3 linked regions of the Coturnix japonica genome follow. The protein of the gene in region 3 purifies or fractionates together with the protein of the main gene of each other region. This does not show direct contact. Links are inferred from orthologs where the notes say so. Each region holds a gene or a part of one and is shown on either strand. Other genes may lie near its edges. The genes, in order: ATG7, SIRT1 and FOXO1.

Region 1 (3,648 bases), on a different chromosome or scaffold from region 3:
GTGTTGGGATAGAAGTACTGCCAGCCAACACTATAGCCTTGGCTTGCATTATCCTTACTTAATTATTTTTTAATCCAAACATGGAGACTCAGTCCCTTCTGGGAATGGAATCGGATCAGCATAGAGTACATTTTAAGGAGGTACATCAGTACCAAGGTTTTAAATGAAAGCATTTTCTCACAGATTTCTTACCTGATGAGGAACAAGTCCAAGAGAAGTAGGTGGCTCATTCATTCTATCATCACTACTGCTGGCCACAGCATAACCACTGACAAAAAACCAAGAAGGAAAGTTAGAACAAGACAACATACTGAACAGTCAAAGTTTCCAGTAAGCTACAAGGCACTTAACTGCAGCCTGCAGTTTAGAATCTGGAAAGTAAGTTATCTGGAAAGTTTGCTTCATAGTAACTAAGCTCTAGCATGGGAATACCAAAATCTTCAGAACCAGAGACTTAGAATTCGAATGCAAGGAACCTACAACTCCTTTCACGGATTTTAAAGAGAAAATAAACCTAAATGTCACATTAGAAAATTCCAGAGACATTTGTGTCTCACATGCAGTTAATTTTAATTAGGATTTTGAAGCATTCGGCTTATCTTAAAGCCTTTCTTGTGACAAAAGTAGTTATGTCAGCTCATCATTACACTCAAAAGCTCTCTTGTGTAAAGGATCTATTAACAGAAATCACTTTCTCTTTTGAAATGTTCTCAGTACTTTGATACTTTTAAAGTCACAGAAAAAAAATTGCCAAACTCCAAGACAAAACTTTGCTTTGATCATTTGGTTCTCTGTGAAATAATGGTACACTACAGTAACACAGATATTACATGATCCATACTTTATATTAATTTTGTAGGCAACATAATGCATTACAGAACTTCCCTTCTTAATGTGTACCTCCTCCTCCTTCTCCCAGTAGATTATATATAATAACTCTGATTTCTCAGGGAACATCTCTTTAAACACCACTCCTCTCAGAAATGACTCACCCTTCTGGATGCTGTAAAACAGAAACCATTAATTCCACTGCAAGAGCTCCAGCTATCATGGCTAATCCAGGTCGACTCACTGTACACTGCTGATCCAATGTCCTATCCCTGGTAGACTAGAATGATAGATAAATTAAAAAAAAAAAAAAAAAAAAGTAATGCAAAAGTAATTTAGTTGTTCTTCTAAACAATATATCTTCAGTGACTTGCAATTCATTTTCCCCCCCACCAATCATCCAAGTAAAAGACAAACTGTTTCTTAATCCAATGAATATCAATATAAGAGGAATCCCTAATGAAATCCCATTTAAAGGAAATAAAAATTCAGTTCAACAGGAGAGATACATATTTGTCACCATTTGCATAACACTGTACTCACATCCCCTGGTGCCACGACGTCATTGCAGAAATAGCAACCCAGTTTGTAGCCAGGGATATTTGAAAAGAGCGATGAACCCAAAAGGTCAGAAGGACCAGGGGCTGTGTTGAAACATGCATTGCCAGTTTCTTGCTGTTTGGGTTTCTTTAGTCCATGTCTCATAACAACAAACGTGTCAAACCCCAGGGCAGCATTGATGACCAGCTACAAACAACAGAGAGAACAACAAACCTGAAGTGAGCCAAAAGGGGAGGGTAAAAAAGACCTCCAGGTTTCATTCACTGTATGTATCAAACAAAAAAACCTACACAATCTCTAATCAGATGATAACCTAACACCTACCTATTTAACATCCTAGCCATAAAAAAACTCAGATTTTCTAATATGTGCTAATTCCTAGCTGCCAAACATCAAAAGAAATACAAAAATGTTTCAGAAGTCCTGAAAACATCTTTTTCCTTTGACTTTCTGGGAAGTTTGATACAAAAAACGACTTTTTTTTGTTGCAGAAATTTAGGCACACTTGTAGACAACCCTGCAACGCAAAGTCCATAAGCACATTCTAGTTTGCATTTGAAGACAACTTCAAACCAATACACTGCATCTCACTGAAGTGACTGGAATTGCTATGTGCTGATATGGATCAACATCCCCATATTATGGCCTAATACTCATATAGTAATTAGTACTGCTATTGGAATAATTTATGTTAGTTCCACCTCGGAGTTTATTCTTAAGTTTGCTACATATTCTGAACCAAACATTGAAACTTCGAGTGTTAAAATACACCAAATACCACTTAAGTACAACAGTGGTGATCAAGAATAACTTTTCATGTCATTTGAGATACCAAAAGTATTCTTTTAACTGTCTGAAATAACTCCTATGTGACAAAGCACAGCACATCTGCTATCCAAAAATAAAATATATATATTTTCTCAGTGAGGAAAGCATGTAATTATTACTTATGGTCTTCATATGCATCTGTTTAGTCACATGCGGACTAAAAGCAGCTATGATACAAAATTACTTTGTCATCATTTCCCCTTCTCTTTTCAGTGTGACAAGTGTTGAGAGTAATCTGAAGTTCCATATGAAAAATAAGCAGATAGAGAAAGTTTTGTTTAAGGATGACTTTATGATATATGCAAAAGCTGAAATGCAGTAACGGGATTATTAACAAGATGCACTACAATACCTTCCTCTTGCTGGCTGCAATAACAGCAGGAAGCCATCGACTCTCTCTAGTGTCCATTAGTAGGAAAACAACATCATGAGCATCAATAAGCTCTTCAAGTGTAGCCACATCCTTCCGAGCCTGTGCCATTGTTACTTCTGAAAAATTCACTGGATGGCCTGGCATAGGGATGCTCATGTTATAGCCTTCTGAATTCTGCATGGAGGTAGAGAAAAACAACAGCATATAGAAACAAACTTTTGGGTTAATAGAATTATTCTGAAGTGCAACACAAATTGTAGGGCTGCTGCTTGGCAGAAAGGCAACTGAACTCTTATCATCCCTTTGTATACAGGTAATGTAAACTAAAGTACAGTGCAAAAGTTTGAGTGAATGGCAGTCTCAGAGGCTGCATTTATCCAGAACAGAACAGCTCAATGCAAACACACTGGTTTGGATTACAAGAGCAGACAAAAAACATTCAAGTAGCTTTGTGCCTCAACTAAACAGCCCAGCTCTCTCAGAAGGCTTATTAGGTCTAGCAAAGCAGCTCCAGAGGACAGCTGAACCGTTTCTAGTCCCAAAGGGAACCAATGCAATGACAACTGTTACTTCTTATTACTACAAGTAACTCTCCAGTCGACACTTACGCTTTTGTGAGCCTCATCACAACCTCACAACTCCACAGCTTAGCCTGGTATTTTGCTTTCCTGTTTGTTTTCAAACAAGAAAACTCACAATACAAGTTTCCGATGTTTCTGATGTGCAAAATCATGCTTTCTATATTATTATTTGGGATTTCACAAACAAGCTTTATTTCTTCTAATTCCATTAGTCTTTCCTAATACACCCGTTTTTATTTTTTCAATTTTCTTCTCCATTTAGAAAAAACAAAAAATCATATGACAATTCAATCAGAGCTTTATCTTAGTGCACAATTTGACACTGTACAGATGCACACTATTCCATACTTGTTCCCCCATTAAATATTTCCATAACTGAGTATCACCAAGTAACAATAGCACAGAAAGGCAATCTCAATTCCAAAGCAAAAATAAATAAATATGAACAGCTGATAGGTCTTCTACCACATCAAGATG
Region 2 (3,748 bases), on a different chromosome or scaffold from region 3:
AGATAACCATCAGCAAATACGTTTACCTAAAAGGTACTGAACAGTGAACCCATAACGAGGAGAGCAGTAACAACTAGGTCAGGTTTTAAGCGGAGCACTGCTGTTCTGTTCACTGTTCTTTCAATACCACACAGGATACAGGCAGTAATTAATGAAAACTAAATAATTTATATTTCTTCTAACAATTTTCAAACCAACCGAAGAGTAGGAAGAACTAAGCAAGTGTTCAAAGCCAAGCAGCATCTGAGAATAATTACATAGGCTTCTACCTATACGTGGTCTTGGGGTCCAGTCACTAGAACTTGCATGTGAAGCTCTGTCATCTTCATCACTGTCACAGGAGTGGAAACCATTGGCTATGATTTCATCGCTCAAAAGGAAGTTATCTGCAAGACAGCACAACAATGGAAGTTACAAAACTGAGCCAAGCAGCACAGTTCATGCACATTTAAATGCATCACAAAACCTAAAGTTGTAATTCATTGCATTCAGCTGTAATAGCCAACAAATAGGCAGTTTCATCACTTAAGTTGGTTTTAATTTTTCAGCTTATTAACACATTTTCAGGCCTCCGATTTACTGAAGGATTTCTATATTAATACTGGCATCAGTGGGCTGATGTTGACATGAATGAGGCATTCATTATATGCAGTGTTGGTTACTGAGTTTGTCTGTACCTTCACCGAGAGTGAAGTGTTTTAAAATTACCACTATTTTCTCATGCGGTTCTCACTTCATCCAGCTCTTACTGTGAAACTGGTAAAATCAATGTTCCGCACCTTATAAAACAATCTTCAATGGGGTTTTAAGAGCCCAGCATTTAAAAGCGCGCACAAGCACACAGCTGGATAGAGAGGAGAATGTTGCTGTGCTGTTATCTTGCAGCTGGCCACACACACACTCAAATGGTATTTCATTTATGACACAAAAACGTGCTGCCCTGAACCACCTTCACTAAGTTTATCATCCGCTGTACCTTGGGTTTGGCTTCCAGCACTCTGCTTGTGGTCCTAAGATGGAGTAACCCAATCTAACTTCATCACGCACCCAGAATAAGGGCTCTAGAGAGGACTGGGATACTCATTATGTCTTACTGTGATTTTACGTATTTAAAGCATCACAATTCTGTCTGGTAACATGTGAAGTCAGTGAGCATCTTACACAGAAAAGCTTTATGAATATGAGAAACATCCATCGGCACACTGTTCTACTACAACCAGTGTCTGCCATGTGAAGTCAAAGTCTGTGTCATTAACGACTCAACACATCATCACAGATTTATAAGATGTGACACCCAGCCTAAAGTACCAGTTGAAACTTAACACTCCCCAAGGAGCTGTCTTGATTCTTCAAAGAAATAAAAGGACTTCTTGCCAGAGACAGCCAATACAAACCAAAACACGTCTGAGAATCTGAGTGACTTGAGGAATAGGCTCTACATAAGGCATTTATAATAGAAATCACTTCCCAGGCAAAACGCGGTCTCTTACAGCATTTTAAAGGCCCTTCCTAAAGCACTACCTTAAAAACCCCAAAGCCTCCCGACCTGTCGGTCCCAACACAGCGGACCGAGCTCAAGTGCTGGTGCTGCCCAGGCCGTGCTCCAAACCCACCTGCAAACACAGCTCCCTGAGGGTGCAGCACTTTGCGCTTCAGCTGCTGAAGCCTAAGACTAACTCGAAGCTACTTAAAGAGCGGGGCCGCACAACCGCTCCTGTCCCTTCCACGCAAGTTTTCAAGAAGCAGAAAGAAAGCGACCGCTCCCATCTCTGGATCATAGTTTGATTCCGTAAGTCAATGGGGCTTTGGGTTGTCATTTCTAATAGCGCGCTGCCAGCACCGCGGCCGATCTTAGCATCGCGCCGAGGCCCGGCACGAATAGCGATCGGAGCGGGGAGGCCCGATCGGAGCAGAGAGGCCCGGGGCGCCGCAGCCGACGGGCGGCAGCCGAGCTCGGAGCTCCCCCTCGCCGCGGCCGCCCCGGGGCGGGACGGGGGATGGGGTCGGGTCCTCACCGGGCTGCGGGGCCGGCGCTCCGCTCGCCCCGTTTGAACGCTGCGCCCGCTCGCAGCCAATGGCCGCCTCCGCCGCGTCTTCTCCGGGCGCCGCCTCCGCCCCCTCCCCCCGGCCCCGCTGCCGCGGCTGCGGAGGCGGCTCCGCCCGGGCCAGGCCCCGCCGCCCGGCCCTATTGTCCGCGCCGCTCCGGCCGCCCGTCGTCGCGCCGCCGTCCTCCTCCTCCCGCGCCCGGCCGTCTCCGTGGGCGCTGAGGGCCGCCTCCTCCTGGCCCGGAGGTTCCGCGGCGGCGGCGATAGGCGGCTCCTCGCCCCGCTCGGGGCGGTGGGCGGGCGGCGCGCCCCAGCCGCAAACGCCGTGTTCCGAGTCGAGGCGCTGGCGCTTGGGCGCGGGCTCGGCGCCGTCGGCCGGGACGCCGGGTCCGCCGTCGCGGTGGCGGAGGAGCGGAGCGTCCCCGTCCGCCATCTTGGAGAAGCAACCGCCGCCGCCCCCCTCTGTGGCTCCGTCCCGCCCGGCGCAGCGCGCAGCAGCGCCGCCGCCACGGGCCCAGCCCCCACCACAGGGAGCGATTTAAACACGGCACGTGACCGCGCCGCCGCCCACGCGGGCGCCCGCCCCGAGGAGGCCGCAACAACAACAAACCGGGTCACGTGAGCGGGGACACGGAAGGGGGGGGGGGGTCAGGTCACGTGGCGTCCGGCGCCGGCTCGGCCCTCGCGCGGCCTGGCCTGCTGGTCACGTGACCGCGGGCCCTGTTGTATTACCTACAAGCACAGCAATCCTGATCTAACCTTAATGGATACAAAATTCGGTATTGTTTTGTTTAATATTACTGCTTAGTGTCGCCAACTAATTACATAATGGCTTCAGCGACTTGAATCCAATTCAACTTGGTGGTAAGACCAATATTAGACAAGTAGAATTTCTCCCTTGCACACCTTGATGGCATCAGCTGTAATGATCTGTACTGGTGGTTCAGTTGCACGTACCACGCTTCATGTGCATCAAAACAAGAAGTGATAAGATGTGAATCAGAGCAATTCTATCACTGTCTGCAAATCTGTCCCAAAGTGTTCGTTGTGTGTGTTGAAGTTGAGACAATCAGGTTTTGAGGCATAAAAAGGAAGGTGTTGTGTTAGTAATGGTGTTTGGATGCTTATTGACATGGAGATCCTGTTCTAAGACACCACGTAACTGGCACAGGTGGGCGATCCAAAGCTTTCTGTGAAGCTGTTGGTGAGGAAATGAATCGAGGGCCCTAAAGCCGACTCTAACCTTGCAAACATTTGCTCATGCAATGATGATGTTGCAGCAGTTACCCCCGGATTGGGAAGTCAGTTTGGCGGTGCTTGGGTCCTCTTCTACTTCTGCATCTCTGAGTGTGTGTGACCATCTGAAGGTGGAACATGCAGAACTTACAGAATCACAGAATTGTAGGGGTTGGAAGGGACCTCTAGAGATCATCGAGTCCAACCCCCCTGACAAAGCTGGCTCACTACAGCAGGTCACACAGTTCGGTGTCCAGGTGGGTCTTAAATATCTCCAGAGAAGGAGACTCCACCACCTCCCTGGGCAGCCTGTTCCAGTGCTCCGTCACCCTCACTGTAAAGAAGTTCTTCCGCACATTCGTGCAGAACTTCCTATGCTGTACTTTCATCCCATTACTCCTAGTCCTGTCCCCACGCACCACTGAAAAGAGACCAGCCTCACCGCTATGGCTCCCACACCTCAGGTA
Region 3 (3,748 bases):
ATCCCTCCCCAAAAGGTACTCAGCGAAACATAGCACCAGTGCAATCCCGCATCGTGCCAATCAGCCTGTCAAAAGGAGAGCATACACAGCAAGGCACATGCAGGACATATCTACTGTCAGCGTATCTTCTGTGCCCTGCCACAGAGTACATCACCCAGCAGCTCACTTCTGTACAGTACGGCACAGCATAGGTGTGTGGGCATAGGAAGAGGTGTGTGAGCCCTATTAGTTGTTGAAGCAACACAAGAAGAAGCACATCATCCATCGGGCAGCAAGAAGAGCTCACATTTGCTTGCTTGAATTTGGGAGCTCTTTGATTAAATTTGCTCTGTTTTAAGTCTCTTCTGCTCATGGTGCAAATGCAGTTTGCTTTATTTCCAGCCGACCAAAATACAACTGAAAAAGAACCCAGCGTCTTTGAGAATCTTCTGTGATTCTGTGAGTGCTGAGTTCCCTTGTCTCAAAGTTGTCACCCATCAATCACTCCTCTCCTAGGGACGCCTTGAGACAATTATTCTTTACCTTTTATAGCCAAACATGTCGATAGGAACTAACACATTACTTCTAAGAGCTTTAAGAGCCTTAAAACCAAAAAGGAGTTTGAGGTCCTCACCTACGATTCTTTAGTAGGGCACCTCTTACCTGCACAAAATAATGACGTCTACAAAAATCAGATGGAATAACCATTTCGAGGTGTGCAGTTAATACGTTACAATATATAAATATCGGATTTGAGCTTACAAATAAATAAATAAAGTAAATATTAAGAGATACTGGGAGGTAAAGGGAGCAAAACTCGAGAACGGGCAGAACCGGTGCGGAGCCAGGAGTAGGGCAGCCCTGTGCCATCCCTGCAGGGAAGAGGAGGAGGAAGATTTGGTGCGAGGTTCTGGCCGCTCACACGCAGCGCTGCCGCAAACCCCGTTCGTCGGCACCGCGGTGCGCACCGCACGCGTGGGTGAAGCCGGGAAGCGGAGGGGCTGAACAGAAAGACCCCAAATCAACAGGTTCTACACCGGTAGCCCCGCTGCTGGCCCGCACCGAGATCGCAGGAAGCTCAGTACCAACGTTTAAAAGGACGCACGCTCCTGCAAAGCGGGCTGAGCGCAGCCACCGGGACAAACAGAGCGCTTACTCATTAAACACACGGTACTTCTGCAACCCTTGTCCTGCCCCTGCTCTTTCCCCATCGCTGTTTGCCTCTGCCCCATCCCCGTCTCCCGACGGCTCCCCCCGGATCTCCCGGAGCCGCTCAGCGCCCGCAGCGGCGGGGGGGGCCGGGAGGAGCCGCGATCCCTCCTCCTCGCCCGGGGCCGGCGCCGTGACACGGCGTGAACTTTTGCTTTCGGCGGGGCAGGGCGAGGGGGGGGCCCTCCTCCCAGAGAGAGCCGAGCCTTGCGGGGGGAGGGCAGAACCGCGTCTTTTTTTTCTGTAGTTTTTGTCTTTTTTTTCTTTGCTTTTAGGGAGGAAAAAAAAAAAAAAAAAAGAAAATGCGAAAGGAGTCCCGTCCGGCCCTCACCTTCCAACCGGCTGAACTGTTACTGTCGCCCTTATCCTTGAAGTAGGGCACGCACCGCACCATCCACTCGTAGATCTGGGACAGGGTGAGCCGCTTCTCGGGGGAGCTCTCGATGGCCTTGGTGATGAGGTCCGCGTACGAGAGGTTGCCCCACGCGTTGCGGCGCGACGAGCTGCTCTTGCGGGGCTGCCCGGCCACGGGGCCCGGAGACAGAGCGGCCACGGCCGGAGGTACCGGCGGTACCGGCGGCGGTCCCGGCGGGTGCAGGCGGCAGCCGGCCTCGGGCGCCGGGAAGTCCCCGCAGCGGCAGGCGGCCGGCTCCGGGGGGGCGGCGGCGGCGGGGGGCAGCGCATAGTCCTCGTTCTCCTCCACCAAGCAGAGGTTGCTGATGAAGTCGGCGCTCAGCGCTCCGGAGGCGGCGACGGCGACGGCCGCTCCGGCCGCGGCCGCCCCGTCGGGCTGCCCTCCGCAGGACGGCGCGGGGCTGGAGGTGGCCGAGCTGGGAGGGTTGAACTCCGGCCGCGGCAGGGGCCAGGTGCACGAGCGGGGCCGCGGCAGCGGCTCGAAGTCGGGGTCGATGTCCACCAGCTGCGGGGCCTCGGCCATGGCTGCGGCGGCGTCGGCGGGGGGCAGCGGGACGGCGGGGGGGCAGCGGAGCGGGCTCAGCACCGCCGCCCCATGCGAGCTCCGAGCGCGGATCTGCGCGACCCCGACGGCGCGGCGCGGCCGACGACTCCACTCGCGGTTCTCGACCTCGCGGGCTCCGGCCCCGCCGCCCTGCCCGGCTCCTCGCCCTCGGCGGCGGCGGCAGCAGCGACCCGGCCGCCCGGCGCGCACCGACTGCAGAGCCCGCCCCGCCTCCAGCCTTCCTCCTCCTCCTCCTCCTCCTCCCGGCGGGGAGGGCCGGCCCGAGCCTCGCCAATGGCAGCGCCGCACCGCCCGCCCGCCTCCCGCCGCGGGGCCACTGCTGCGGGAGGGTGCCGGTGCCCCCGTGCTGTTAGTGGGCGGTTTGTGTGTGTTTGGGGTTTGGGTGTAGTGTTCTGTTTTTTAAGGGGGGGGTTTGTTGTTGTGTTTTTTTTTTTCCAGCGCGAAGCCGCCGAGTCCCGTTGGGAACGAACTCTGTCGCCGAGCGGGGCCGGGACTGTGCGGGAACGTCCCCGTATGGGAGCTGCCCCCGGCCCCGACGGCAGCGGAGCGGAGCGGCCCCCCGCGTGTGGCGGAGGCAGCCGCAAAGTTTTGCCCGTGTTTGAAACCGAGCGGATGCCGTCGGCTTTGCCGGGAGAGGCGATCGCAGGGATGAGATCCCTTACAACACAGCCGATTTTTTAACGAGATCTGCCTCATTTTCCGTAACGCTTTAAACAACCCACTGCAGCCTCAGCCTCGAAACCCTCAGCGAGCCCAGAGCCGGGCGCTGCCCGTCCCGCGGTTGTCCCGTCCCGTCGGGCCGTGGGCTGTCCCCGCTCCCCTGAGAGTGTCGGGGTTACTTAAATATAGCTCGTCGCTCCTCGAAAAACATACTCTACAATATTAAGGAGAAGAGTACAGTAGGAGACTGGATTTAGGCCCACAGATTGTACCTCTACGTGCGTGTAAGCGGGCAGGACCTGCTGGCACTGAACGTTCTCCAGCACTCTAAAGGCGACCGCTGTTGGCTGCAGCCTGTCGCACTTCGGAATCCCTTTTGCTTTAAGTCCCTTCTGCGTTTTCCAAAGCCTGCTGAGGACTCAGCCAGAAGCTCGGTACCGTTTCGCCCACAGGTCTTTTAAAAGTTCATATATTTTTATGTCTGTTTAATGGAGAAGAAAAGCGGAATAGTAGCTGCTCACACTCTCTGTGCCACGTCCCAGCCCCGGGGAGCGATGTGTGCCCGCGCTCCCCAGCGCAGCTCAGGACAGCGGGGCTGCGCGGGGTGGGATGCGAATGGGTGCATTGGAGGGAGCTAAAGCAAAAGGGGATAAACTAACCCTTTCCTTTTACTTTCCCGGTGTCTGAAATAAAAGCCAAAGAGCCAGGCCGGCACCCATCGTGCTGGAGGAAATGCATTTATTTCCAGCTTTTGCTGCTTTTAGTTTTTTCCATAACATTTCTGTTCTCACCAGACCTCTGTTGTTACACACATCTTTCCTTCCGTACGAGCTGTGCCAACCAGAACGAAGGCTGCAGAGGACTCCCCGGTCAGCACCAGCACATCCCCAGCCCAGCCCGTGTGGTTGTGCAGCTCACGGC

The links.
Region 1: the proteins of FOXO1 (region 3) and ATG7 purify together in Homo sapiens (affinity purification with western blotting; 4 studies listed by BioGRID). This does not show direct contact. The link is inferred for Coturnix japonica from reciprocal best matches to the Homo sapiens genes FOXO1 and ATG7.
Region 2: the proteins of FOXO1 (region 3) and SIRT1 purify together in Homo sapiens (affinity purification with western blotting; 5 studies listed by BioGRID and IntAct, with this or other methods). This does not show direct contact. The link is inferred for Coturnix japonica from reciprocal best matches to the Homo sapiens genes FOXO1 and SIRT1.

The regions. Positions count from the first base shown.
Region 1 is NC_029527.1:2,881,929-2,885,576, reverse strand, and holds part of ATG7 (ubiquitin-like modifier-activating enzyme ATG7), read right to left. Parts: intron 2,765-3,648; coding exon 2,570-2,764; intron 1,576-2,569; coding exon 1,372-1,575; intron 1,109-1,371; coding exon 993-1,108; intron 269-992; coding exon 193-268; intron 1-192. UniProt on the Homo sapiens protein: E1-like activating enzyme involved in the 2 ubiquitin-like systems required for cytoplasm to vacuole transport (Cvt) and autophagy.
Region 2 is NC_029521.1:8,449,451-8,453,198, reverse strand, and holds the start of SIRT1 (NAD-dependent protein deacetylase sirtuin-1), read right to left. Parts: upstream 2,633-3,748; 5' UTR 2,479-2,632; coding exon 2,016-2,478; intron 1,868-2,015; exon of another isoform or gene 1,614-1,867; intron 387-1,613; coding exon 270-386; intron 1-269. UniProt on the Homo sapiens protein: NAD-dependent protein deacetylase that links transcriptional regulation directly to intracellular energetics and participates in the coordination of several separated cellular functions such as cell cycle, response to DNA damage, metabolism, apoptosis and autophagy.
Region 3 is NC_029516.1:152,516,741-152,520,488, reverse strand, and holds the start of FOXO1 (forkhead box protein O1), read right to left. Parts: upstream 2,342-3,748; 5' UTR 2,126-2,341; coding exon 1,520-2,125; intron 1-1,519. UniProt on the Homo sapiens protein: Transcription factor that is the main target of insulin signaling and regulates metabolic homeostasis in response to oxidative stress.